Linked DNA regions of Rhinolophus ferrumequinum. The protein of the gene in region 3 purifies or fractionates together with the protein of the main gene of each other region. This does not show direct contact. Links are inferred from orthologs where the notes say so. Each region holds a gene or a part of one and is shown on either strand. Other genes may lie near its edges. The genes, in order: NLRP3, WWP2 and TXNIP.

What was found.
Region 1: the proteins of TXNIP (region 3) and NLRP3 purify together in Homo sapiens (affinity purification with western blotting, with the first as the bait; 4 studies listed by BioGRID). This does not show direct contact. The link is inferred for Rhinolophus ferrumequinum from reciprocal best matches to the Homo sapiens genes TXNIP and NLRP3.
Region 2: the proteins of TXNIP (region 3) and WWP2 purify together in Homo sapiens (affinity purification with mass spectrometry; 3 studies listed by BioGRID and IntAct, with this or other methods). This does not show direct contact. The link is inferred for Rhinolophus ferrumequinum from reciprocal best matches to the Homo sapiens genes TXNIP and WWP2.

What each region holds. Positions count from the first base shown.
Region 1 is NC_046307.1:1,051,539-1,059,613, forward strand, and holds the start of NLRP3 (NACHT, LRR and PYD domains-containing protein 3), read right to left. Parts: upstream 3,074-8,075; 5' UTR 2,321-3,073; intron 845-2,320; 5' UTR 664-844; intron 1-663. UniProt on the Homo sapiens protein: Sensor component of the NLRP3 inflammasome, which mediates inflammasome activation in response to defects in membrane integrity, leading to secretion of inflammatory cytokines IL1B and IL18 and pyroptosis.
Region 2 is NC_046298.1:18,774,285-18,781,786, reverse strand, and holds the start of WWP2 (NEDD4-like E3 ubiquitin-protein ligase WWP2), read right to left. Parts: upstream 3,025-7,502; 5' UTR 2,941-3,024; intron 2,770-2,940; exon of another isoform or gene 2,749-2,769; intron 1-2,748. Other genes in the region: RNA-binding protein NOB1, read left to right, coding at 7,483-7,502. UniProt on the Homo sapiens protein: E3 ubiquitin-protein ligase which accepts ubiquitin from an E2 ubiquitin-conjugating enzyme in the form of a thioester and then directly transfers the ubiquitin to targeted substrates.
Region 3 is NC_046305.1:50,205,450-50,212,778, forward strand, and holds the start of TXNIP (thioredoxin-interacting protein), read right to left. Parts: upstream 3,070-7,329; 5' UTR 2,811-3,069; coding exon 2,561-2,810; intron 2,094-2,560; coding exon 2,021-2,093; intron 1,897-2,020; coding exon 1,749-1,896; intron 1,545-1,748; coding exon 1,442-1,544; intron 1,316-1,441; coding exon 1,059-1,315; intron 970-1,058; coding exon 813-969; intron 709-812; coding exon 557-708; intron 427-556; coding exon 391-426; 3' UTR 1-390. UniProt on the Homo sapiens protein: May act as an oxidative stress mediator by inhibiting thioredoxin activity or by limiting its bioavailability.

The DNA.
Region 1 (8,075 bases), on a different chromosome or scaffold from region 3:
CTGTTTGTTCGAAGAAGAGCTTAAGGCCTTCAGTTGGCTCACAGGAACAGAAGCAGTAGTCTTTCTTCTGGGGGTGTCCTGTGGAAACTTTAATAGAGCAGGTTTGATTTGAAGGGAAGGCGACCCAGCTACTGACTCTCTGTAGTTTGATAGTAGTTGGGGTGTTTGGGAGATCTGGAAAGGGTCCCTTCTGTTTAGAAGTTAATTGGGCTGTTAGAGACCCCTCCCCCTCTAGGCTTTTAATAGTTCTTGGTCCCCACTGTACAACTTTATGACTTTAAGGGGCTATAATGTGTAGAGGAGTTGGCTTGGGGGAAGTGCCAGTCCTTATATTTTGAGTGCCTGCTGGACTTTTCCCAAGTTAATATAGAAAATAACAGAATTGAGGTCAGAATCCACAGCAATGGGCAGCAATTAGAGCCAGGGCTTAGAGGTCTCCTGACAAAACTTTTTCTAGAGTCCTTTTTAAGTGTGATTTGCTTATTTTATACTTTTTCTGCAACATAGGCCAATGGTAAGGAATAGGCGGAGTAAAATGAGCCCAAATTTAGGGGGGTTTATTTTTACAACTGAGTAGGTTTTAGAGGAAATAAATAGGTCCAGAGTGAGTGGTCAAGAAAGAATAAATAGCTTCTATATTAATCAGGAAATTTACAGGCTTACCTGCCACGTCAACGGTCACCCTCAGTTCCACCCTTGTGATGAGAAGAGCTTGGGAGCCTCTGGGAACTTCAGGTCCAGCAGTGATCACAGCCATTTGTGGGGAGGGAGTTGGTCTCTGCTCCCTTCAGAACAGGGGGCAGTCCCTCCTCCAGTGCCCTTTTAGTTTGCAGTGGGACCATGGCTGGTTTGGAGGAGTAGGACACTCCTTACTCCAGTGGCCTGGCGTTTCCTCTTCTGGGGTTTCTGGGGGGCCCTGAGGTGGCTTCAGCCCTGGGTTGTCTACAACTGCAGCCAAAAGTCTGGCCTGTCTCTGGCTTTGTCTCTAGTTTCACTGTTCCTTTATTACTTGTTTATCCTGCTTCAGTTGTTAAAGATATTTAAACAAATTTCCTGACCTTTTCTAGATTCTGTGGCTTTTTATTAAGATGCAACAATGGGTCGGAATTATTATAATTTGCTGTCAGGTGAGGAAAAATATTAAGTCAAGCTTAATGAATTTACCCTAACTTATCTAGGTTTTTGGTATAAAACAGTTAAATTATTTTTTTTAATAGTTGTTTATATCTGACATGAGAAGGACACATGAACACCAGTAGTCCTAGAATATAGAAATTATTGCAATAACATATATCATCTTTGTTTTTTAGGTAGAAAACCTTTTATATTAGTAGTAGACCAATAGTCTAATAAAATTTGTCTTACTTAGCAGAGAGAGAAAAATCAACTTGAGTTTTGTACTACCTTTACAACCTTAATTTATACTAATAACCAAAAGCAAGTAATTAGCTCTTTCCCTGGTAAATCGAGGGATATATTTTGTAACCTTTAAAAGCATTGACTTTTGTAATGCAATGCATGACATATTCATTAACAGATCTTAATTTCTCTTTTATTATTCCTGTTACAAGAAGCCAGAAATAGGTAAACTCAGACCTAGCCAATAATTGATATTTCAATATTTTGCTATTTTGAAATACCTAGATAGTTAATAACTTTCATCATTTAACACAACTTAGTAAATCCAACAAACCAGTCTTAGTATCAAATATTTCCTTAGATCAGGTGATCCTGAGAAGTAGTTGAGTTAGTTGTTATTATCTTAATTAATATAAGCACTTACTCTCTTATTTTTAGCCAATCAAATATTATAAACTGGCAATACCATCTGGAGGCAAAACCATTATTATATAAAACAGACAAGTACAGACCTTAGAGACTACATATGTAAACAGAACCACCAACACTTGCAGAGAGGACCTAAGATCTTATAGTTGCCCTTCCAACTTCAGGAGGCTGTAACGGAGTGGGGGCGCTTGCCGCCTGGGTTTAAAAGTGCCTCTTTTTTTCTCTTCAGTTACCTCAGCCTCAAGTGGAGGCTGCAGCAGCCCTTTGTTTACATTTGAGGTTATCTGCAAGACCTTGAAAGTTACTGAGAGTTAGAGAAATCTTTTAAGAATTACCACCTTTTGTCAAGTTCTTGAATATAGTTGGTGTACAAAACAGTTTTAAATACATGACTTAGAAGGCTCACAGAAGGTATAGATACAGAGCTCCTGATCAGCTTGGTGTCTAAGACACAAATAGAAAAGGAAAAGGAAAAGAGAAAAGACAGACTAGAGGCAAATAAAACAAATAAATTACATAAGCTAGTACTTACAGAACTAAATCCTCCTGAAATGAGGAGCTGGAGTTTGGGGGAGAAGGTGTAGGCTGAGGGCATGGGGTGGACGAGGAGAGACCCAATCGATCTTCAGCCGGGTCAAAGGAAGGAGTTTTATCTGGAGGAGGAGAAGGCTTAGAGTGCGCTAGGAGAATTTGGAATGTATTGTAGGTTTGGCAGAGGGAGAGTCGAGCTCAAAGAATAAAGAAGGCCTGCACATAGGGAATTTCTGACCATTTTCTGTTGTGGTGACAGAAGTTAGATAGGGGTGAGGCAGTGCTGTAGTAAAAGATAAGTCCTGTGGGTCAGATATCCTGTAAGATGAGCCCAAGGGAGTGTAAGTTGTGGAGGGGACAACCGAGAGGCGTAGATTTGGCAAGGACCAAATGTGAGGCCCCCATGGTTTGAAGAGATAGAGTGACAAGGGTGAGAAGAGAGCTTCCTGTTAGGAGGAGCACAGGGGTGAGGCATCTCCCGATTCCGGTGTCCGTCCTCCTCGGGTTTGGATATGGTAGACCGCTCCTCAGAACAGCGTCCTCAGACTGGGAGGATCTGGGCCCCCGGGGCCTGGAGGAACTTTCTGGCCTAGCTCTAGGACTTTTGGAAAACTGGAGAGTCAGCAGGTCCGAGGAGAGAATAAGACGTCTCACTCACCCGGTGTGAGAGTCTGGCCGGATGTTGTCTGGGATGTCAGCAACAGAAGGGAGAAAGTCCCCAAGCACATCCTTACGGCAGGTCTGGGAGGGTAGCCAGAGAGCAGATCAAGCAGGGGGGAGAGGGGAGTAGGGAGAAGAGAAAGAGAAGAAGCGATCCTGCATTCTCTGGCCTAAACCCTCCCGGGTTCTGGCACCAAATGATAGGTAGGCTGGTAAAGGAACGCACATGGTCAGGCAAGCTGAGAAAGTTTATTAAGAGAAAGCCTGTCGGGCGGAGCAAAGATGGCTACAGCCCAGACTGTGCGTCTAAAGGAGACCTGCAGCCCCAAGGGAGGGGGTGAGGAGAGTTTTATAGGGGCTGTGCTGACAGGGTAGCACTGTTTGAACAGAAAATTCTGACTACCTGCAAGCTAGTAGCTGTTTTGTGGTGTTTTCTGTTTTTCGCAAGTTTGGCTCTGTCTGCAGGTGCAGGCCAACAGACATTTTGTTGTTTTCTTGCAGACGTGGTTCTGTCTGTAAGTCAAGGTCTCTGAGACCTAACATTCAGAGACCTAACATTAAGTCAAGGTCTCCAACATTCAGAGACCTAACAGCAAGAATATACAATAGGGGTAAAGATAGTCTCCTCAATAAACTGTTTTGGGAAAAATGGACAGATACATGTAAAACAATGAAACTAGACCACTTTCTTATACCACATACAAGAATAAACTCAAAATGCATTAAAGACTTAAATGTAATACCCAAAACAATAAAACTACTTGAGGAAAACATAGGCAGTAAACCCTCTGACATTGCTCTTAGTAATATTTTTTCTGATGTATTTCTTTGGGCAAGGGGAAAAAAAGAAAAAGAAACAAATGGGACTACCTCAAACTAAAAAGGTTTTGGACAGCAAAGGAAACCATCAACAAAACGAAAAGACAAACTATTAAATGGGAGAAGATATTTGCCAATAATACATCTGATAAGAGGTTAATACCCAAAATTTATTAAAAAAAACTCATACAACTCAATACAAAAAAATTCCAATTAAAAAATGGGCAGCGGACATGGATAGACATTTCTCCAAAGAGGACATACAGGTGGCCAAAAGACATATCAAAAGATGCTCAGTATGACTAATTATCAGAGAAATGCAAATCAAAACCACAATGAAATATCACCTCATTGCTGTCAAAATGGCTATCATCAATAAATCAACAAATAGGGCCAGTCTGGTGACTCAGGCAGTTAGAGCTCCATGCTCCTAACTCCGAAGGCTGACGGTTCGATTCCCACATGGGCCAGTGGGCTCTCAACCACAAGGTTGCCAGTTCAATTCCTCGACTCCCGCAAGGGATGGTGGGCTATGCCCTCTGCAACTAGAAACGGCAACTGGACCTGGAGCTAAGCTGTGCCCTCCTCAACTAAGACTGAAAGGACAACAACTTGAAGCTGAACGGCACCCTCCACAACAAAGATTGAAAGGACAACAACTTGACATGGAAAAAAGTCCTGGAAGTACACACTGTTCCCCAATAAGGTCCTGTTCCCCTTCCCCAATAAAATGTTAAAAATAAATAAATAAATAAATAAATAAACAAACAAACAAACAAATAACAAGTGGTGTGAGGATGTGGAGAAAAGGGAACCCTCGTGCACTGTTGGTAGGATTGCAAACTGGTGCAACCGCTATGGAAAACAGTATGGAGATGCCTCAAAAAATTAAAAATAGAACTACTTTATGACTCAGCAAGTTCACGCCTGGGTATTTATCCAAAGAAACCCAAAACACTAATTCAAAAAGGTGCATGCATGTGTATGTTCATTGCAGCATTGTTTACAACAGCCAAGATACGGAAGTGAACTAAGTGCCCATCGATAGATGACAGGATAAAGAAGAGGTGGTGCATATGAGAAAGGTTCTGTGTCACACATCACTTCTGGTATGGCAATTTCTGTCAAATAAAAACATTACGGTGTGTCCTCATGCAACTTAGACTGTGCAGTCAACAGAAAAACATCCAGCCTGAGAGAAAGCTTATAAGAGTTCATTTGAGCCAAACTGACAACAATTGCTGGGAAGCAAAATCTCAACGGATTGAGAAAATGCTCTGGAAAATGGCCATTTTGCAACTTATTTTTATACATTAGAATCAAAGGAGGAGGGTTTCATGAAATCCATTGGTCGTAGATTAAGGGGGTGGGAGAAAGCAAAGCGGGGAAATCTCTGGGATTGGATAAAAAGCAAAATGGAGAGACACACACTTCTTTTACATTGGTGGGTACAGGATAGTTAATAGCATTTTACAGCACAGAGAGATGGTATTTAGAAAACAAGATAACAATGAGGGATTTTGTAGTTTCCTGCTCTGGTGCGGTGGGTTGTGCCCTCTGGGAGGTCTGAAGGAAGAGATTACTCTTATATTCCAAGGGTATGTTATCTTAGATGCAAAAAGACGACAGACAGGTTCACGTAAGGTAAAGATTTACCTTTGCCAAGGAAGCAACAGGTGAGGATGTGACTTCCCGCCATGGCCCACCTTACTGAGGAATTTTTATGTTCACACCATCCTCTGTGGTTATTTTCAGTCTCCTGAGCTTGTCAGGTTTAAATGTGGCCCCTTTTTCATTCACATTTCCCCCTTTTGGTCATAAATCAATTCGAATAATACATTGATGACCAACCTTTTGGTTGGATAGTGTGGTCCCACGGTGCTAGGAGGGCTCATTCCTAGGAATCTTAGTGTCGGCATTTGTCCTGCTGAATGTTGGACCATTGTGGGTGGGGCAAGACCATAACCTTAGATGGCAGTCAAGGCCAAATTATTTATTTATATTTAAAAGAAAAGGTGAGCAAACAGGAGGCAGTCAGATCCTATATGTCTTCATTAAATATATTCTGGATCATTTCTAATCTTTGAGCTATCATGATCCAAGTTTTTCCTCTGTCTGTCTTATGTTGTTTTTTTGCACCTAATATAACATGTACAAACTAGGAACAAGAGCAATAGTATTAAACCAGTAACACTGATTAGGAGCAGAAAATGTCCAATATTAGACAAGTATGAGTCTGAGCGGAGCAAACATCCTAGCCAACCAAAGAACCCTTCATTTGCATTATCATAATTTTTTATTAAGCTAATATGTTTCCCTCCCTCGTCTACTGCTATTTGTACCTTATGACAAGTTCGGCCAGATAAATGAAGAATTTACTATTTCATGATCGAAAAGCTCTAATTTTTCTTCTGGTCAATTAGTTTCCATAGAAATGACTTCATGGGGAGGAGTAAGTTCAATTTCCCAGTACACTGGATTTTCAGTATCAATATTGTTATAGGCAAAGTTAATTTGGCTGTGATTTCAGTACTACACCGTATTCCCATAGCATTTACTATAAACCTGGTATTATTACAGTAGAAATCAGTTAGTATGACAGAAGAATTTTCTAACCCTTCCCAACAAAAACGTCCCCTTCTCATATAACACATATTGTTGTTTGTTGAGGTGGATACAATAGGCCAGGATTAGGTAAATTCAGAATTCCATATAGATTGGGGACATAATCATTCACCTTTTCAGTTTAATATGGCCTATCTACTTTACATTGGAAGCGCTCATGTGTCATTCATTAATCTGATTTCTGCTAGTTGTATAACCGGGACCTGTATCTTTAAGGTTTAATAGGGGCTAAGAACACAATGGTGTAAGTTACAATTACTACCTGAACATTTCTAGAGGCCAAGAGGACAGTAGAAGTTTCATAAATAAATTTTCTGTGCCTTAGCAGCCATTATAGAGGGATATATATATATACGTATATATGTACATATATATATATATATATATATATACACACACACATAGATAGATAGATAGATAGATCTCCACTTCAGCTTCTATCTGAATTAATATCGTTAGTAGTCTTTGTAAAGATTGGGGCTAAGTATAATTGGGTTCTAATATAAAATTCCTTTCTCAATATTTCTTTTCCACTAACCTTCTATAACTTCACTTGTCCTTCTCAGTTTGTCTCCTTTCCCTCATTCAGAAATAATCAACTTATTAGGACAAACTACTTCCTTTTAACTTCTCTCAAAAATACACACACATCCCTTTTCTTCTTTCTACAATAACATTTCTTTTACATTTCAAAACCATAAATATAGTATTATTGATAATAAAGAAGTTATCTAATACGACTTGAGCAATTATTAACAGTCGGGCTATATAAGTACAGGTTTTGAAAAAAGCCTAACAAACAAGTATAACTATCATTATTACTAATATTATTAGCAGACAGTTAAAGACAATCAAACAATGGTTGTTTTAAGTTCAGTATCAATTATGTAGATGTACAGGCCTTCTCGATGTCTTGGGGTAGCTGTCTAACCCTGATGTCGGCAGCTTCTCATCCTTGAAGAGTCTTTGGTATCCACTGATAGGTCCCTTCCGACAAGGTTGGAGAGCCTTTGTCCAATGGACAAAATCTCCTGGCTGTGAGCCGTGGTCTTTGCAGTCTTCGTCTCCCGGGAACATGCTGAAGTGAATCAGTTACTAATTTATTAATTTCTTTAAGATAATTGATAAGTCCTTGATAATAATGTAGAATGTCTCCTATTAGTAAGGTGAACAATGATAATGAGGAGAAAGCCCATGTTTACCAAAAGGAATATATCTCGTTTGAGAAGCACTATAAGGAGAGCTTTTGGCCAAGGGAGATTAAAAGCTTCTGAAAATTTACCTAGTTGAATTTTAACTTATCATTTGTACACTCAACCAATCCAGAGGACTGGGGTGATAAGTGCAATGAAAATGCTGTAAAATAAGCCAAATATTACAAATATATTATTGGCCCCGTGAAATGAGTCTCTCAGTTACTGTGCAATTCACAGGGAATTCTCCAATTGGAGATTATTATTAATATAAATAACTTCCCTACCATTAAGGCTGTTGTTCTCCTGCAAAGGAATGTCTCAACCCAGTGAGACAACATACAAATCATGACTAACATATGTGTGCATCCTTGAGATGGTGGCATTTGAATAAAATCCAATTACCATACCTCAAATGGACCTAAAGGAAATAGAAAATGTCCTTAGGACACACGGAGT
Region 2 (7,502 bases), on a different chromosome or scaffold from region 3:
CCTCACCACCTCCATCACCGCGACCCACGCCGTCCTTCACCTGGATCCTGGCAATACCTCTGAACGTGTCTCCCTACTTCGTCTTGCTCCTCTTTACTCCTTCTCTGCATGGCAACCAGAGTGACCCGGTTAAAAGGCAGGATGGATGGTGGCCACTCCACTGCTCAAAACTCAATGGTCCCAACTCACTCCGAGTGAAAACTAACATCCTTACAATGGCCTGCAAGGCTCTCCCCCACCCGCCCATCTCTTTCCTTATCCCCAACACCTCTCTGACTCATCTTCCCCATCCCGTCTCACTCATATCCCTGCAGCTGCTGGCCTCCTGGATGATCCACAAACCTGCCAGGGGTGCTGTGTCTTTCAGGCTGTTGAATTTGCTGTTTCCTCTGCCTGGACCACTATGTCCCCATTCAGCCACATGGCTCCTTCCCTCACCTCCTTCAGATCTTCACTCAACCATCACTTTCTCAAGAAGTCTTCTCTCAGGACCCTAATTCAAAACTGCCACCCTAGCCAACATTCCACATCCTACTTCCCTGCTTTATTACAATACAATATGCATTTTACTGGATTCTTTTGTTTACTGTGCCTTTCCCCACTAAAATTTACTGTCCACAAGGGCAGGGATTTTTGACTTTCTCATATATTCTTTCACCGGTGTTTAGAACAGCACTGTGCAATACAATTCTTAATTTTCCAGAAAACATTTTAAAAAGTAAAAAGAAACAGGTGAATTTAATTTCAATTAATACTGTGATTAACCCAATAAACTTAAAATGTCATCATTTATACTATATATATTGATATTGATATTTATTCTAATATAAAAAATATCAATGAGATATTTTATCTTTTTTCCATATTAAGTCTTCAAAATCTGGTGTGTATTTTCTACTCATAGCATATTCTCAGTGCTCAACAGTCCCAGGTGGCAACTGGCCACCATACTGGACAAGGCAACTCTAGAACAATGCCTGGCGTAAAGTAGGCACTTATATATATTCATTGAATTAAAGAATGCTTTCCCAGGAAAAGGCGGCTATAGCACTGCACAGAGTTTTCTAAACTTCAATTGCATTCTGCATTCACAATTTTTGCTGTGATCTACATACTGCTTTTTTTCCTTAAAATGTCATGCTTTTTATACTTGAAAAAATATTTTAAAATAAAACTTTATATTGCTTCTATGAATGGAAAAGAGTGGATCTAAGGATAAAAGCCCTGGGCTGGAGTCCCTGCTCATTCATTCAGTAGCTCTGGACTCTAAAGCAAGAATTTTGCTAAGCCTCAGTTTCTTCATCTGTAGAATAAGGACAATACCAACCTTTACAGGACCATGGTGAGAATTAAATGAGATGCTGGTTATAAGTCTTTGTAAATGGAAAGTAGTCGTTAAGTAAGAGACTGAGGAGCTAACCCAAACCTTTTCCCCAGGCCTATGGTCTTCAGATGGACCAATAACAGAAAATGGCAAGTCTGTCTAAGAGAAGAGCCAGGTCCTGAGTTCAAATCCCTTATCCTCCACATACATCCACGTAACCTTTAGAAATTCATTTATTCATTTACCCAGTGCCCACAACATGCCAGGCACTAGGCTAGTAGCCAAGTAAGCTGAATAAGATGACCCCAGCACTTGAGGGGTTGCAGTCTAGCAGGGAGAAAGAAACCAGTAAACAAGATAAATAAATTGTTTAAAAAAAAAAAAAGAAGTCATCTCTTAGGTCTGTTTGTTCATTGTGAAATGAGAATAACACCTTCCCAACCTAACTCACAGGGCTGCTACAAAAATCAATTTTAAACTGTCAAATATTCCAAAAACTTGCAATCATAATACATTAGCAAAGTACTTTTTTTTCCTACTTGTCACCCAAAATGACTCTGGCTCCTGTGAATGCCCAGTTTGAACATTCACTCCAGTGATACCACATTCACGAAATTTATTTCATTGCTGCAAATTTTAGTAAACACGAAGAAAAAGACGATGAACAGCTTTTCACACAGGTGTTTAATCTCAAAATCACGATCTAGGTCATCGTTCTGAAGAACACAACACAGACCTTTCAGTTACCCTACCTAGTTACAGTTTGTCAAGATAAGCAGTCACATGGTAAGAGAAGCTGAATAATTTAAACTGAAGAAAGAGGAAAAGTCATAAAGCTGTAGAGGTAGACACTGTCCAAGGTTTCAGCAGTCGCTATGTTGCTGAGGTAACTGCTGAGCAACAGTTTAAACTAAAAGCCATTTTATGGCCAAAGTGCCCACACTTTTTTTTTTCAGCCTAGAAGTTGATCTAACCTGGGAAAACCTCAAAGAAAGATTATCAGAAGGGCTAGGTTCCCAAGAAGTGGAAACCCTATCCAGGCAGGACTAAGTGCGTGTGACGAAAGCAAGAAAAGATTCTGTGACCCATCCTAAAGTTTACAAACTGAATGGGACCGAAATCAAAGTCTCGGGTAGCAACCCGAGGAAAGAAGGAAGAGACTCAGCTGGGGTTCAAGCAGCATCTTCCTGAATTCTCCTTCTTTCCCTCCATGTCCTATGCCCATTATCAGGCTCCCCCTTCCAGTTCAGTCGCAAGTTGCCCCTTCCTCCCGTCCCGACCCTTCCTCAAAGGTCACCCCTCTCTATCCCTGGCACCTAAACTCCCTTCTCCTTCCCGAGGGACTTGCTGTCCGCCACCGCACCCCTGGCCTCCTCCGTGCCCATCTCAGAGCAACCCCCGCGAACAGCCCTCGGCGCGCCCACCGCGCCAGAGCCGGAGCCGGGACACCCCTCCTCGGAGGCCGGAACCGCCGCGTCTGGCCCCTCCCACAGGAAGCCACCGCCCCCCGGCGCCCGGGCCGCACCGCCCCCGGCCCACCCCCAGCCGCCCGCAGCCCCTGGCCCGCCCCGCACCCCCCGCGCGTCCGCCTCGCCCCCCGCGCCCGCGCTCGCTACCTGCCGCGGCCACAGAATCCGCGCCCAACTCCTCTCCCACTTCCGCCTCCCACCGCCCGCACTCGGGCTGAGTCACGTGCCCGCTTGCGGTCACCTGACCCGGAAGAGGCTGGCCGGACTCGCAGGTGCAGGCAACCTAGGCCTGGCCTGGGAGCCTTTGGCCGAGAGAAGGCCTTCTTACCCCTTTTATATGTGTAAGTGGGAGCGTTTACCACTCGCTGGACGGCTCCCAGGCAATCAAATAAATTGAGGGCTCACTGAGTGTCAGGAGTTTCATATACTCCTACCTACAACCCCGGAGGCGGGTCTATCATTAGCCCCACTATACAGGTGAGAGGAAGCCGCTCAACAATTAAGTCATCAAGTATTTATTGAGCTCCTTAGTGGGATTGTCAGATAAAATACAGGACGTCTGGTTAAATTTGAATTTCAGATAAACAACCGTGTAATATGTGTGTCCCAGATAGTGCATGGGACATATTTATACACACACAAAATGTTTATCTGAAAATCAAATTTAATTGGCCATACTGTATGTTTGCTTGCTTTATCTGGCAACCTTATGCCTACTATGAGTCAGGCACTGTTGTAGGCTTTAGATACACAAAAATCCTTTCCTGATCACACTATGTAAAATAATTTAAAATAATTTAAATAGGATGATCAGGAAATTTACATAGGGTGATCAGGAAAGGATTTTTGTGTATCTAGAGCCTACAACAGTGCCTGACTCATAGTAGGCATAGGGTTGCCAGATGAAGCAAGTAAAAATACTCTCCTACCGGCCCCTTTTCCTGCTTTATTTTTTCCTCCATATTTCCTCCAGTCTTATCACTATCTGACTTTTGTATGAATATTTGCATGTGTGTAGGTATGTACGTATGTACATAAAATACATATGTAAAATCTATTTCTCACTACAAGAATTATGAAGGCAGGAGCTATATCCCAGTGTAGTGGCTAAAACAATACCCATTTTTTACCTCACACAGGTCTGAAGTCCAGGCCAGCACAGCTAGGTTCTTTGCTCAGCGTCTCACAAGGCTGAAATTAAGGTGGCGTCGTCAGCTGGAGGCTTGACTAGGGAAAGATCTGCTTTCAAGCTCCTTAATATTGTTGGCAGATTTAACTTCCTTGTAGCCAGAGGACCGGAGTCCCTTGGTCTTGCTAGCTGTTGTCTGTGGCCACATGCAGCTCCTAGAGGCTGCTCTCAGGTCCCTGAGACGTGGCCCCCTCCACAGACCTTCCAAACTCGGGAAGCCTCTTGAAATAATTTGTTGAATGAATACATTTCAATATTTATTGAGCACTGAACTCATTGCTGTAGGTCCTACAGTGTAAGAGATTTTTTTCATTTAAGGATAAAGATCCCTAAAACCCATTCCCTGACTTCCAACCTACTTAAAGACAACAGACAACTACATTGCAAAGCATAAATAATAACTGCTCGCTGAGTGACAGAACTGAAATGTCTTAAATGTGGTGGAAAAGCAGAGTTCAAATCTGTCCTTGGGGAAAAATCTAATTTGGGTAATCAGGGACCAATTTACAGAGGGGACAATGGGCCATTTTTGGAAACTAAGCAGTGATTGGCAGGCAGAATTTTCAGGAATAAGAAAAAACAAGGGCAAAGGCAGAGACAGGAAAGTCCAGAAGAATTCTAAGAACATTTATTGATTTCACAGTGTTTCTTCTGCATCAAGTTCTCTCTCCCCTGTTAAGCATTTAGTCTCATAGCCTCTACATATTTCAATCCTGGAAACAAACTCGGATCTTCACTGGCACACAAGCAATACCTTCTCTTTCATAAAGGGTTTCTTCACATGTAAAAGTTGACATCTCCAAATGAGTTACACATTGATTCCTTCTACATGTACTTGAAAGTGTTAATTTGTTCATGTAAACACAATTTTCATAATAGCGTGTGAGATTTCTTTGCTTTTTAAAAACCGGGAGCTTCAAAACAGTGAAGTGTTTCGGGGCTCACTTCACCTCTGAGAGACCCTGTCCCCAGTCACCATGTCCTACCATAGGCTCTACCTTCAATTCCATGAACACCCCTTGGACTTTCCTATCTTGATGGCTTTGCCCTACTCATCCTTCCAGATCCATCTCCAAAGTCAAAAACTCTGAAGGTGTCCCTAGATGCTACAGAAAATATGATTTTGTTCATAGCTGTCATGTCACCCACCCTATGGTGATATAAGTTAGTTCTCAATACATAATTGTTAAATAAGTGAGAGTCCTTCTAAGGCTTTAGGGGGCTTGGAGACTAATGTTCTAAAGAAACAGAAAAGAGATTCAATTCTATTAAAAAATGACAAAAGCTACAAAGTGTCAAGAAACCTTTTAGAGGCATGTCTCATTTTATTGCTCTTCATTTTATTGCACTGCAGAGATACTGCATTTTTCACAAATTGAAGGCAAGACCTTCCATCAGCAAAAAAATTATAACACTTTATTATGGTACTCACTTTATTTCAGTGATCTGGAACTGAACCTGCAATATCTCCAAGATATGCCTGTGTATTAATAAGTATTCTTAGTATTTACTAGAAAATAAATGGCTCAAAGCCTGATCATTCTTTTCCTTTTTCCCTAATCAGTGGTTCTCAAACGTGTCCTCCAAAGGAGCAGCATCCGTATCACCTGGAAATTATTAGAAATACAAAATCTCAGGCCCTGCCCAGAACTACTGAATCAGGAACTGAGAGTGAGACCCATCAAGCTGTGTTTGCAGGTTCCCCAGGTGATTCTGACAGTCAAGTCTGAGAACCACTGATCTAAATCATTCTTCTTCCTTGTGGGGTTTACTCAATTATCGCTGCCAAGTTCAATGAACCTCTTTATTACAGATTCTAGTTCCTCCCTTGCTTTTTAGGCTACATGAGCAATCAATTGAAGAAGAAATTAGACAGGAATACTAGCATTGAGTGTATTATATTTATTAGGCATGAGATAAAAAGCTTGATTAGAGTAATGAATGTAGAGGGGACCCAGACGCCCCATACATTTCAGAAGTGACATCAATAAGGTTTAGCAAGAGAAACACAGGTTGAGAGAGAGGGTGGAAATGAGGTGACTCAGATGCTTACCTTGAATGTCTTTGTTGGTAATGCCTTTTAATGAAAATAGAAACCTTAGTATTGGAACAAAGTTTAAGCTGGGGCGGGAGAGATAATTACTTCAGTCATAACCTTCCTCCTAAGTGAAGATGCCAAAAGTTTTCAGATGATATAAACAGGGAATAAACAGGGATTAGACCTAAAGATTTGGGAGGCATTCCTATAATGTGATAACTGAAGCCTTGAGGATAGATAGTATTGCTGAAGGAGAGAGTTTAGAGAGACAAAGGGGCCAGACAGTTCTGTGGAGGGGGTCCGGTTTGCAAGGCAGAAGAAGGGAGTCCAGTAAAGAAGGATGAGAAGCCATCAGGGAGGGAAGGGACCAGAATCTTGTAGTATCACCCAAGTCAGGCAAGGAGAGACAGTCCAGAAAGAGGAGATGGGCTGCAATGTCAAATTCTACAGAGAAACTGAGAAGGCAAGAAAAAAATACCAGAAAATTGACATGATGAACTCGAAAATTAGAAAGCTTTCTATCAGGCTATTTTAGGCAGGGCAGGCAGGGCAGGAACCAGTGGCTCTGGAGGTTGAGGAGACTAAGTAAGAACAGTTCAGACAGATGTCTAGGGAAGGGAAAGGGGTTTGGGCAACTACTGAAGGGGACCTTCAGGGATTTCTGGAAGTAGGATGCATAAATTAGAAGGGAGGGCTAAGACTGGATTGAAGACTTCACAGAGGTTTGGAATAACTCAACATCTCTGAAAACTGATTACTGAAAACTCAAGTCAACATTCAGCTGAAATTCACCAGCATGAATTTATAATAGGCCAGTTCTCCTAATGATGGAATCTCAGATTGGAAAGGGAATTCAGAAATCATCTAATACCCCTCTTCAGTTCGATTCAGCAAGGAATTATTTGCTAGCAAAGTGTGTGTCTTGCTTAGGGAAGTGGAACGAGGATACTAAGGTAAATAAGGATATTAAGGTAACTTGGCCTCAAGTTACTCAAAAGGAAGTGGGGGTACGTAAGCAGCAGTCAGTATAGCATAATGGGTAAAAAAGAGGCTCCGAGTTGGTTTGTCTGGGTGTTAATCTCAGTCACAACCACTTAAGCTGGGCCTAGTTGTCTTGTAGCTATCCCTTGATCATTAAATTGGGTTATGTGTATTGACTGATTTAACAATGAGAATATATACAACTTTCACCCTTAAAAGTGGAAAAGGAGCTAAGGAGTGAGTGCTGCAGCGTATTTCCTTAGATGTACCCCAAGGTTTAACCGTGCCCGCATCCCGTGGTTGTGCTGCCGGCGTCGTCGCGCATGCGCGCGGGTAGTCCTGAGTCGGGGGATGCGGGTGCGGCCGCCAGGCGGCGCAGCTAAATCGCAGCTGCTCTTCCCGGCTCCCGGACGCCCTGAATGGGAAGTAGTGGTGAGCGCCACCTCCGTGCACATGCGTGTTTGGAGCTGGTTCGGCCAACATGGCTGCCGTGGAGCATGT
Region 3 (7,329 bases):
CAAGATCTGATATTGTGATTAACCATCGATACTCCCCTCCAAAAAAACTTGGGAAGACCATGCCAGAAGGCCATTTCTACCCCTTATTCGAAACTACTGAAGATGCCTCAATTTTCAAGGAGATCTGAGAGGAGGGGGTGGGCCTGAGTCCTTCTAGTGTTTTTAAACCCATCCAGCCAACACCCCGATATCACATCTCGCTGGCTGAGGACGAGTGCACACCCTTTAAGGCCCAGGAGATTGCCTGCTGATCTCCTACACTGGGGAGTCAGAGGTTAGGGTGGACCCATCGCCCACTGTAGAGACTGTCCAGTCTCTGAAAAAGTTCGAGTCCAGGAAGAGAGGTGGAAAGAAACACGTAGGTACAGCTGCTTCTTGTCTTCCACATGCTCACTGCACATTGTTGTTAAGGATACAGGGATCCACCTGCAGGGAGGAAAAAGCAAAAGATCCTTTAGTTTTAGAAATAAAAGAAAACCCCAGTTTAGCAATCCCGCCCAGTTAACATCCTACAGAAGGCCTGGGATAAACGTTGTGGTAAAATGACAATTCTCACCTCAGTGTAAGTAGGTGGTGGCATGAACTTGAACTCAGGAGCATACATAAAAATAGGGCTGTCTTGAGAACCGTCTGTATCATCTAACAGAGGAGTGGTGGGGCTCTCCAATCGGTGATCTTCAGGAATGATATCCATGTAGCAAGGAGGAGCTGGAGAGAAAAAGTATGGGGATAAGAAGCCTGGCCAAGAATTTTCACAATTTTACAAACCCAAGCAGGCCAGAGGGGAAGAAAAGACATAAGGTCTGGCTCACCTTCTGGGGTATCAGGGATGTTTAGATCCACCCAACTCATCTCAGAGCTGGTACGGCTGGCCATGCTGGACGTCCGGCTGCTCAGACCCGACTTGCTGCCAATTACCAGGGGTAGGTCAAGAATGACTTTCTTGGAACCAGGAATGCTAACGTAGATCTATAAAAGGATGAAGGCACTTTGTTAGACTACAGGTCTAGAAAAGACATCCCTGGTCTTTTGACAGATGAACAATTTCACTCACTTACCCGCAAGAAATATTCAACTCGAAGGATGTCGCAGCCCAGGATGGAAGGCCGGATCTTCTGCACCCGAACGCTCTTGCCACGCCATGATGCACAAGTTCCCGAGATAATATGATTGCCTCTAACTGATGACAACTTCTGCATCAGCACCTTGGTTTGGCCATTGGCAAGGTAAGTGTGGCGGGCTAAGATGGCAGCTTTGGGAACTATGATGCGGGAACATGTATTCTCAAAGTCGGCATGGATGGAAATCTCGTCACCTAGCGATCAGAAAAATAAAAACGGATGCTCAGTACAGTTAATGACTTTTCTTCGATCCCTGTCCTCACCCCCAAACCCCCAGTTTCTGTTCTATCAGTCTACTGTTTTAAGCTCTAGGTTTTTACCTTCACAGAATCCTTTTCTGTCAATTCGGGCAGAGACAGACACCCGTCCATCAGGAATGAACATGCAGGAAACTTTCTTCTCCTTTTTAGCAGACACAGGCGCCTAAGAAGAATGGAGGAGAAAAGGTTTTTTTGAGAATTTCTAGAGATCCTTTTCTCTGCTTCTCTTTCCTTTCCCCTGCCTACCTAGAGTAGGCAGCCCTCCCACCTTGATGACTTAGGACTTCATTCCCTGAGCTGCTTCAATCTAATGCCCAAGACGTTTGACTTATCCCTGAAACCCATACAATCTTCAAATGAACCTCACCATTAAATCAGGGGTATTGACATCCACTAGATCCATCACTTCAAAGTTTTGCTTTGTTTCTTGTGTTGGCTGGCTGGGGCGATCAAGAAAAGCCTTCACCCAGTAGTCTACACCCCCATATTTTCCTTTGAAGGATGTTCCCAGAGGCCTGTGTCAAGTAAAAAGAAGTATTATAATTAACTTAAATATGCTCTCCAAGAACAGAAGATGATCAAAGGAGGGGAAGATTTTTACAGACAGAAAGTCCAAAGATGCATTTAGCTGATACCTACCCCTGAGGAAGCTCAAAGCCGAACTTGTACTCATATTTGTTTCCAGGTCTCATGATCACCATCTCATTCTCACCTGAAGGGAGAGAAAAGTGAGTAGCCATCAGGTTTCTGGTTACACTTAAAATGCATCCCTGTGATAAGGAATTCTTGGGTGGCATGCAAGAGTATTGTAGTACCCTAGTTTTCACCCCTTGTATTTTTAAATGACAAATTCTGATACATGTCGTTGGGCAGAAAGTTGCAAAGCCATCTCAAACAGGAAACAAAGAATAAGCAACCTACGCACACACACACAAAAATATTTTTAAAGATCTAAGGCAACATCCTGCAAGACCAGAACACAGCACCCTAAGAAGTTGTATTAGTCACTTTTTCGGGGTGGGGGGGGGTTGCAAATTAAAACTGAAAGAGCCGCGGCACAGAACTCAAAGCACTCAACCTGAGCAACTTAAAGTATTTAGTACAGGCTCCATTTATTCATTTCAATACTCTTCTCAAATCAGCTTTCACCCTCCAGCAGAGCACGTCTGGGTTACTCACCGGTCGGCTGGTCTTCCAGGAGAAGCGTGTCTTCGTAGCGCAGGTACTCCAAGGTCTGTTTGCACTGCTGGGATCCCTGCATCCAGAGGACTCTGGCCACTCCGCAAGCCAGGACCCTGACAGCTTTGACTCGAGTGACTTCACACACCTCCACTATCACCCGGCCAGTCACCTTCTCCCCACTGCCGTACACCTTTTCAGGGTCGTTAAAGACCACCTCAAAAGACTTGATTTTCTTGAACATCACCATGATTGGGCTGGGTTGGCTTAAGGATTAGAAACCAAAGAAGGCAAAAAAAAAAAATCACCAAACCCTAAATCCAAGAACCCTTGGCAATAATTTTAAGATTATTTCACTCTTCAATTCTACTCAATTTTTGAAAAGATGTCAAAATGTAAGCTGCTGGTTATGCCAAGGAATTTCAAGAGAAAAGTAAGCTTGCTTTCCCCAATAGCTGCAGAAGCGCTCTGGGTTTCGGCCGGCTGGCTGACTGCACCCCGTCTCCAAAAATAAGAGGGGAGTTCCAACTGAGATCCGGAAACAGCTCTATATAGTAGCGGGGCTGGCTGGGCCACGCGAGCGCTAGCCCGGAGGCTCGTGCTGCCCTCGTGCACAGCCCTCCCATTGGCTGCCCGGTCCTTGTTTACCAGGAGCCCGGCCAATCAGCGAGGTCGCAGCGGCGCGTGGACACGGTGTGCTCCTGGCGGGGAAAATGGTTGTTGTGCACCGCGGCCGCACGGGCGGGAGGGGGCGGAGGGCAGGGGAGCGGCTTCCCTTGGGTCCCGGAGGAAGGAGGACCTCGCTGACCCTAAAAATGTGTCCAGGGCCAGGGGCCTTCGAATGGCGGGTGCAGATGATTCAGGGCGGGGAGCGGTGTTTGAAGGTAAAAGGAGAACGTGCTTCTGAGCGATTTCGTGCCTCGCCTTAGCCAGGACAATTAATTTAGAAGCGCCCGCGTATTCCCGGCCCACACATCGCTAGTCGTGTGAAAAACAATCCCAGAGCTCCAAGAATACTTGAGGATGGGGTGGAGGACAGGGAATGTTGATGTTATTGTTCGGGAAGATCCCCTTTGTCCTCTTGCTCCGCATCTGTGTTAAACAACAACACAAACCAGAACTGGTCACAGATTTTAAGCCTCTCTTCAGCCCTCATTGGAAAGCGGGTATGTGTAAACGATGGGCCTCCCTTTCTAGTCCTCTTGCCTGTGCTGTTTCACCCCCCCCCTCGTACTTTCCAGACTGTTCTCTTGAACGGAAATAGTAAGGGCGTGTTCACATCCTGTTGCTTATTCCCTCATCTTTTCAGTTTCTACCTGCATAGTTGGGGGACACTTTGTTTATGTTCCCCCAGCTACCTTTTGACCTCTTTAGTGAGGTGCATTCTGAAGGCTCTGATTATTTCGCACTCCCGACCCCCACACATCTCCAGGAAGGGGGCGGGGTGGGTGCGTCACTCTTTTCACTTTCTGCCGAGTTACTTTTACTCTTTGTCTTCATCCCCTCTCCAACACACTACATCGATGGCATGTACGTGTATCTGTAGGCCACACACCTCACAGCCTTCTAATTAAAAGCAGGAACGTTCTCTTGTTTATAACAAGTGTCAGTGGGGAGATAGCTGTGTTGCTGTTTGAAGGAAGAACTTCCCTCTCTTTTCAAAGTTTTTTTCCTAAGCCGTTTAGAAATCGGTAAGAAATGAAAGAAGAGAGGTGGGTCACTAGAACATCATACGTTCAAATTAAAAGAGACCCTGACTCATCCTGTGTTGTCATTTGGCTTTCTGTCAGAAGGGTTGTCCCCTAACTGGCCATGAGATGTCTTAGGAGCTGACTCCTGAGAACTTATTCATAACTGCAGGAAGGTGACTGTTGCAGAGATACAGGGATTCTTCCCCCCTTTTCTTTGATCCCTGAGCCCCTCTCATTTCTGTGTGGGGCATCAGGAGATTATTACATAATTTCTTGTGCTGGAAAGAGGAAGATGATGTCTCCAAAATGGAGATGGGGAAGTAAAGAAGCATTGAAATATACAGAAATCCTACCCTCTCAGCAAAAAGAAGGCTATTCGTGGTTCTTAAAGATCCTTCTTCACACCTCCTACTGGGTTGAGGCTAACAAGTTATAGCTCAACCCCAATATTAAGCAAGCCCAAGAATCAGGCATCAAAACTGTTGGAGAACACACACACACACACACCCAATTACCACCAACAGAAAAGGGAACATGTTGATCCTTAGTGTGTGGGGGTTTGAGGCAAACACCCTGTTCTAGAAAGTTAACCAGTGAAGCCTGAGTTTTCAATCAGTATGCAATATTGACTGAATTTTCTGGAGCAGGGAAGGTGGAACTCACTAAAGAAATTTTTAAAATTCAAAATTATGGCTTCTGGGAGAATTTTTAGTTTGATGGGTATGAAAGTGTACATAAATGTGAAATATCAAAATATTTACAAAGAAATACATGACTCAATATTGTTAAACTCTGTGATATGTACCCATGTGCATTTTGAGAGGCTGGGAGGAGAGCCAGAGTAGTAATATTAGGTAGGTGCAAAAGTAATTGTGTTCTTTGCAATTATTTTTAATCTTTTAAACCACAATTACTTTTGCACCAACCTAATAGATCAGGGTGGTGATTTGGGACATCTTAGAAAAAGCGAATGCTGATATTTATTTGGGCATATCTCTGAATGCTGAATTTTTGAGTTTTAAAAAATCTGAATATGATTCTGTCTTGCTCTAAGCCCCTCTCTTGGGCTTCAGTTTTATCTTTCTTCCCCATTTTGCAGAATTCAGTACAGATCACTTATTTGCTCTCTGTTATGTCTGGGTTCCCTTAAATGCCAAAAAACTATTTTGTTTTGGCAGCGGCTGCTGCCTTACCAGGCTTGTAGCCAAGGCATGTTCTGAAATGGAGCTCTCTTGGATAGGGTTGTTCACGACCTTTCACCTAGTAGCCCGGTATTCTGATAAAAGTCTGCCCCCTGATTCTTTCTCAGTTCCTGATTGGAAGGAAGAAGGAATCTTGTAAACTGCTGTCCTGAAACTAGGGTGCAAACACTTGTGGGGTGCAGGGGAGAAAAGGGACAGGAGCTAAGTAGGGCTGAGTGCAGGAGTTTTGCAAGTGAGATCATCTTTACCTGTTCCTTCCCCACTCTCTTCAATCCCAGTGCCAACAGGAAACAAAGTGGTGACTGTTGTTTGCCTTCCCAGAGGTGATTGAGTTGTGAAGCCAAAGGGAGGGAAGCGCCCTCAGCACTCTGTTACCAGTCAGAGACAAGAGGCTGGTTGCACTTCTCTTTTCTTTAACCTCTGGCCTGACAAATCTTTAAGACCTCTAAAGACTCAGTTCCTAAGGCAAAACAAACCCCTTTCTTTGTTCTTTTAATCACTTCTGTCACCTCCAGATTAGAGGCAAGTAAAGGTTTGAAAGGTAGTGTGGAACTGAGACTCCCCAACTGTGTGTGTGTGCCTCCAACTCAGATAAATAAGAATGCATTAATCATTGTGTGGCATCTTGAGTTCAAAGTGCGTATATTGAGCACCTGTAATGGACAAAGTCCTTTACAAAATTATCTCAATGATATTTTATTTGTAAGTTCATCTGTCATGTTGTTCCAGAAAGGATTTAAGGTTACATTGTTCATTTAATTCTCACAATAACCCTGTGACTCAGGGTTGATTAATTCAGGCTCAAAGGGTTAAGTAATTTGCCGGAAGTCACAGATTTTGTAAATGGAGCAAGATCTTGAACCCAGCTGTGTCTGATCTAAAGTACTGTATGTACTCTTTTCAATATGTTGTCCTACCTGAGCAGTGCTTAAGCACATCGTATCTTGTTTGATCTTCAGTACAAAGGATTCAGGGCAAAACATAAAGCTCTAGAGGTAAAGAGGACACTAACATTCTTTGAAAAACAACAACAGTTCCCTTATTTAAGCAATTTGCTCTAGGACAAACAGCTAGTAGAGTCACTCTCCAAAACCAGGCTTCTTAATACTTAATCTAGAGTTCATGTCTCTAGGATGCTTTGTGAGGGTATTTTTTTTTTTTTTTTTTTTTTCTTTAATTATTAAAAATACCTCATCTGAACAGGTACCTTGTTGCCACAGGTGGGGGAGGGGGGCGCTGGGTGAAATGGGTGAAGGAAGTCAAAAGGCACAAACTTCTAGTTATAAAATAAGTCTTGGGGATGTGATGTATAGCAGTTAAAAATACTATATCGCATATTTGAAAGTTGCTAAGAGAATAGATTCTAAAAGTTCTCATCACAAGAAAAGAAATCCTGTAATTATGTTGACAGATGTTAACTAGACTTAATGTGGTGATCATTTCACAATATGTATAAATGTTGGATCATTACGTTGTACACCTGAAACTAATACGTATATTTACTGTACCAAAAACAAAACAAAAAACCCCACCTCATTGGGAAGACCAAATTTCATGTTTATTGGGTCTATTTCTCTACTACGGTGAGGAAAGAATGGAGGTCTAGGAGTTGTCCGACTTCAGGGAAAGCTGGGGAGAAGAGATGAATTAAGTTATTCAGAACTATTGCAGACTCATTTAAGATATTTGTTAAAGTTGCCTTATTATATTTAAAAAAATCTTAATACCTTCTCAATGCTATCACCACATCTGTTTTCTTTCCTGTAACATTTCTTAAGAGAATAAATAATTTACACCACTTTCTCTGCTGACTAAACTTGTCCCCCAGACTACTTGTCCCCAGTAGTCTGACTTCTACCACTGAAATGGTTTTTTC